Cricetulus griseus: one gene and its partner. The protein of the gene in region 1 purifies or fractionates together with the protein of each later gene. This does not show direct contact. Links are inferred from orthologs where the notes say so. Each region holds a gene or a part of one and is shown on either strand. Other genes may lie near its edges.

The links.
Region 2: the proteins of cyclin-dependent kinases regulatory subunit 1 (region 1) and Ccna2 purify together in Homo sapiens (affinity purification with western blotting; 7 studies listed by BioGRID and IntAct, counting the BioPlex papers as one, with this or other methods). This does not show direct contact. The link is inferred for Cricetulus griseus from reciprocal best matches to the Homo sapiens genes CKS1B and CCNA2.

Annotation. Positions count from the first base shown.
Region 1 is NC_048596.1:133,402,917-133,405,483, forward strand, and holds cyclin-dependent kinases regulatory subunit 1, read left to right. Parts: upstream 1-1,412; 5' UTR 1,413-1,450; coding exon 1,451-1,693; 3' UTR 1,694-1,739; downstream 1,740-2,567.
Region 2 is NW_023276806.1:113,102,956-113,105,585, reverse strand, and holds the end of Ccna2 (cyclin-A2), read right to left. Parts: intron 2,383-2,630; coding exon 2,249-2,382; intron 2,000-2,248; coding exon 1,951-1,999; 3' UTR 1,223-1,950; coding exon of another isoform or gene 1,141-1,222; 3' UTR 995-1,140; coding exon of another isoform or gene 916-994; 3' UTR 590-915; downstream 1-589. Other genes in the region: Exosc9 (exosome complex component RRP45), read left to right, coding at 916-994, 1,141-1,222. UniProt on the Homo sapiens protein: Cyclin which controls both the G1/S and the G2/M transition phases of the cell cycle. Functions through the formation of specific serine/threonine protein kinase holoenzyme complexes with the cyclin-dependent protein kinases CDK1 or CDK2.

The DNA of each region.
Region 1 (2,567 bases):
AGCCTCAGGTGGTTCAACATCTCAGACTGCTCTAAAGCGACCTGCACTTTCCCAGCCCCAGGTGGTCCCACAGAACCTGGGCAGTGAGGGGAAACAGATGTGTCGTCCCCCCTCCCCTCCCCACCAGCCTGTACTCCTCTCTTCTCATTCTTTGGCCATCATTCCAGCCTTCCTGGGCCCCAACACAGATGCCATTCCAGCAGGAAGCAGTAATAGAAAAGATTCCATCACCCTTTATCACCCACAAAAGGCTGGAACGTTAGATCTCACAGAAACCACAGACAAATGGCTGAGGTGCCTCTTTAACATATCAAAGCTGATTCTGGTGACCAGTCTCTCTCAGTCCCTACTCACAAATAACCTGTCACAGAGTCATCTTGAGTGGCATATGCTGCCCCCTAGCCTCAACCTCTCTTCAGCCCATGGTCTGGGTTTCTCCTCCCCCAGCCTCTGATCCCCCTATAATCTCAACCTTTTTGAGCATGCAGTCTCTTGGTCTCTTGGTTCCCCTCTTGGCCTCCTCCTTTCTCCACTCTTCTCTTCCTCTCACTCCTACCCCTGCACCCCTTCTCTCATGGCACAGTTTATATGGACCCTTCCAGATGCCTCTGGCTGTTGTCTCCCTCATATCTACAATAAATCTTGTCCTCCACCATATCTGGAGCAGTCATGTCCTCATTTCTTCATTCAGTATATAGTCATGCTTTGCTTGGTGATGGGAAGATTTCAGAAAAAAAAATATATTTTAGGGGATTTTGTAGTTCTGCAAACATTCTGTAGCATATTTGCCCAGAGCTGGCTGGAGGTAACCCATTACTAGAGCAATAAGACAACAAAAGGAGATCAAGGGGATACAAATTGGAAAGGAAGAAGGCAAATTTTCACTATTTGCAGATGATATAATAGTTTACATAAGTGACCCAAAAAATTCTACCAGGGAACTCCTACCGCTGATAAACACCTTCAGCAAAGTGGCAGGATACAAGATTAACAACAACAACAAAAAAAAGGTAGCCCTACTATATATAGATGAATATGGCTGAGAAAGAAATCAGAGAAACATCACCCTTCACCATAGCCACAAACAACATAAAATATCTTGGGGGCTAACTCTAACCAAACAAGTGAAAGACCTGTATAATAAGAATTTTGAGTCTTTAAAGAAAGAAATTAAAGAAGATACCAGAAAATGGAAAGACCTCCCATGCTCTTGGATAAGTAAGATCAACACAGTAAGAATGGCAATCTTGCCAAAAGCAATCTACAGATTCAACATAATCCCCATCAAAATCCCAGCACAGTTCTTCACAGACCTTGAAAGAAAAATACTCAACTTTATATGGAAAAACAAAAAACCCAGGATAGCCAAACAACCTGTACAATAAAGGAACTTCTGGGAGTCATCAGGAGGCCGGCGGTGCGGGGCTGAGGGCCCTCGGGCTGAGCAGTCATGTCGCACAAACAGATTTACTATTTGGACAAATACGATGACGAGGAGTTCGAGTACCGGCATGTCATGTTGCCCAAAGACATAGCCAAGCTGGTCCCTAAAACGCATTTGATGTCTGAATCTGAATGGAGAAATCTTGGCGTTCAGCAGAGTCAAGGATGGGTCCATTATATGATGATCCATGAACCAGAACTTCACATCTTACTCTTCCGGCAGCCACTACCCAAGAAGCCAAAGAAATGAAGCTGTTGAACCACCTTTCAAACTCAAGCTTTACACAGCTGTCCTTCCTTCCTACACCTTCTGATAGCATGATTATGTTGCTTTCTTATTTCTCACTTTGACATTTAAAGGATGTTTGTTCAAAACATTGTTTGATTGTGTTGGTACCTGCTTTGCTTCTTGAGCTGAGCCACCAATGCCACAACCTGTCAGATGAGTGTGACCTCAAAGACCTGGTGTGCTCTTTATCCAGTAGGCATATCCATACTTGCCATCTCTGGGAAGCATGTGAAAATCAGATCATGGCTGTTACAGGGATAGTGTGAATTTCCTGTTGTGGTTTTTACTATTGGGTATTGTATTTATGGTGACTTACGGATTTATGTTTCAATATATTGGAAACTTTCCATTTTATCTGACAAATCTCTTCCATGTTACAAGCCTTGATTAAAGGAAGTTTTTATAATATAAAAAAATAAAAAAATAAAGGAACTTCTGGAGGTATCACCATCCCTGACTTAAAGCTCTATTATAGAGCTATAGTTCTGAAAACAGCTTGGTATTGGCACAAAAATGGACAGGTAGACCAATGAAATTGAATTGAAAACCCTGATATTAACCCACACACCTAAAAACACCTGATTTTTGACCAAAAAAAACCACTAAAATTATACAATGGAAAAAAGAAAGCATCTTAAACAAATGGTGCTAGCATAATTGGATGCTGGCATGTAGAAGACTGCAGATAGATCCATATCTATCGAGATGCATAAAACTTAAGTCCAAATGGATCAAAGACCTTAACATAAATTCAGCCACAGTAAACCTCCTAGAAGATAAAGTGGGAGCTACCCTTGAATGAATTGGTACAGGAGATGGCTTCCTGAACATTACA
Region 2 (2,630 bases), on another chromosome or scaffold:
TTTGGTCTGTGGAGACCAGCACACATGTATACTTACACAGATGCACACAAAATTGGCCACATTGGTAGCAGTGACTATCTTTAGGTTAGAAGTCCCTTGAAGGTCTAACTTGCTGTGGTCCAAAAGCCATAAAAAGAAATGTGTGCCAGGGTATGCATATAGATGTCAGAGAACTTGCTGGAGTTCCAGGAAGTTGCGACCTGCCATATGTAGGTGCTGGCAACTGAACTCAGGTTCTTTACCAGAGAAGTATGCACTCTGAACTAATGCATATTCTACTTGTCTTCATGAAAGAGAATCATTGCTTATAGACTTGGTTTTTGTTTTGACAGGGGAACAATGTTGGTTTAATTAGGTTAATGGGTGAGTTTTATACCATTCATTGTATCCAGTTGTCTTAACCATCAATAATGCTGTTACCTCACTATCACTGGCTAGTGTCTTTACACTTGTGTATATATCTATTTGCCTAAGATTTAGTAAGGCTCATGAACAGCTAAGATAACAAGGATGATGATGGTAGAGTTTTTCTAAAGCATGTGAATAAAGAATGCTGAGACAAGAATACACAGCCAAAATAGGCAAATGATTAATTTGCATGCTTTATTTACATATATATATATATAATTAATATTCAAGACAAAAATGGGCAAACAAAAGTTCTCTACATTTTTCATGGTTAGCCCTGGTAGTAATAAACTAGACCGTCCTGGCCTACGTGAGTCCTCTTAAAAAAAAAAAAAACAAAAACAAAAACTACAAAAAACATGTATTTTTTACAAAATTTTTGGAAAGAGTATGTTGTATATGCTGCCTCCAGGCAGCAGAGCTTGAGCTGTGTGTGCATGGAAATGGGAGCATTCAGACTAATGATACTAATAAGTAGTTACTTTTACTTTCGGTATTTTCTCCAAGGTGCCCCTATAGTGCTGTCAGATAGCGAAGAAGAAGAAATGATCATTTTGGAACCAGACAAGAACCCAAAGAAAATAAGGTAACAGATTTCTGGTTACTTTCAAATATACATAAAAATAGGACTTATGTCTGTAAAACAGGATGCCTTTGCCTTTAAAGTTCCAGCGATCCAGTCCAGGATTCAGTGGACATACACTGAGTTGTGGTATTACTTTATTTTCGCAGAGCTCAGACCACCAATGCAAAAGAAAAGGCACCAAGTAAAAGTCAAGTGAAAAGGAGGAAAAAGAAGAGAACTGCTAATTAAAGCTAAAATGATATTTTTGTGTGTATATATATATAAAACTACTAAAAGGATATTTATTCAGTGCTTTAACAGCACTGGGTATTTTTTTATTTGAAAATCCATTATAAGAGCTGAACTGTTTCATAAATTGTTTTGTCTGTAACATTATGCTTTGAATAAACTTTCTGTACAACTTTTCTGTTGCACAAAATCTTCCTAATCCATGTAAAATCTTATTTGTAAAAGTAGAACTGAATGAGTCTGGGGAGTCTCTGCTACACTGAAGAATCTAGTTTTTGCTTATTTTATGACCAAGTCAGCAATTGGTTCAGTTGCTTAGAATAACCAATGTCAGAATTTGAAGATCAGTTTCCCTGAAATATTTCAGTTTTAGGAAGCTTTTTCTACCCCCACTGAACAATAAACCAAGTTAGCCTTTCTAAGTGACATTATCAGTCTTATTTTTATCTCAAATTAACTTTGACTTGCAAAGATTTCCAAATCAATTTATTCTTATTATCCTGACAGTTGGCAGCACCAAATGTTAACAAACCAATTAAAATTAGCCAAATATCTAAGATAGACACATGTACAAAAGATATACAAATTAAAACCATTTAAAAAGCAATGGATACCATAATTTGTCCGTGGCTATACCATCTACATTGTGAAATGATTTGTGAGATTAAAACCCAAGACAAAACTGTACATTGTGAACTCCCATTTTAAACAAAGGTAGTCTTTCATTCTTACACATTTAGTGTCTCTGGTGGGTTGAGAAGAGAAACACCATGGTATCTGTTGAGCAGAAAAAAAATTTTTTTTTAGTAAATATTCATTGGGGAGATCACAGAACAGTTTATATGCCCCAGCCTAGGGAAATGCTATTTCTATTTGATTAGACTCAAAACGTGTGTTACCTTACCCATACCCTACCAGATGAAAGGGGGAAATGCCAGGTACAATAGCTTCCTAACACATTTACCTTACTGAGGCAGCTGTGGCAGATTACCATACCCTTTAAATGAATGAGAATCTGATTCTTACTTTGAATGTTTGTACTTTTCCCTTATTGACTGTTGAGCATGCTGTGCTGCTCTGAGGTAGGTCTGGTGAAGGTCCATGAGACAAGGTTTAAGACTTTCCAGGGTATATCCAGTCTTTTGTACCAATGACTCAGGCTACAGAGAAAAGACAACCATTGAGTTTTTAGTAACAGCACAGGGCATTGACCAATGAATGCACTTACAGTTGACCTAAGGTTGGCATTCATCTTTAACATGTTCAAGCTCATGCCATCTTTTATTTTGACTGTTTGACTACTTCCCCTGCTAGCAGCAGGCAGTTGGCCCAGATTCTTGAAGCAGAGCTTTCAAATTCAAGCTTACAGCTAAGCTTTCTGCCCAAACCAAACCAGCAACTGTAATAC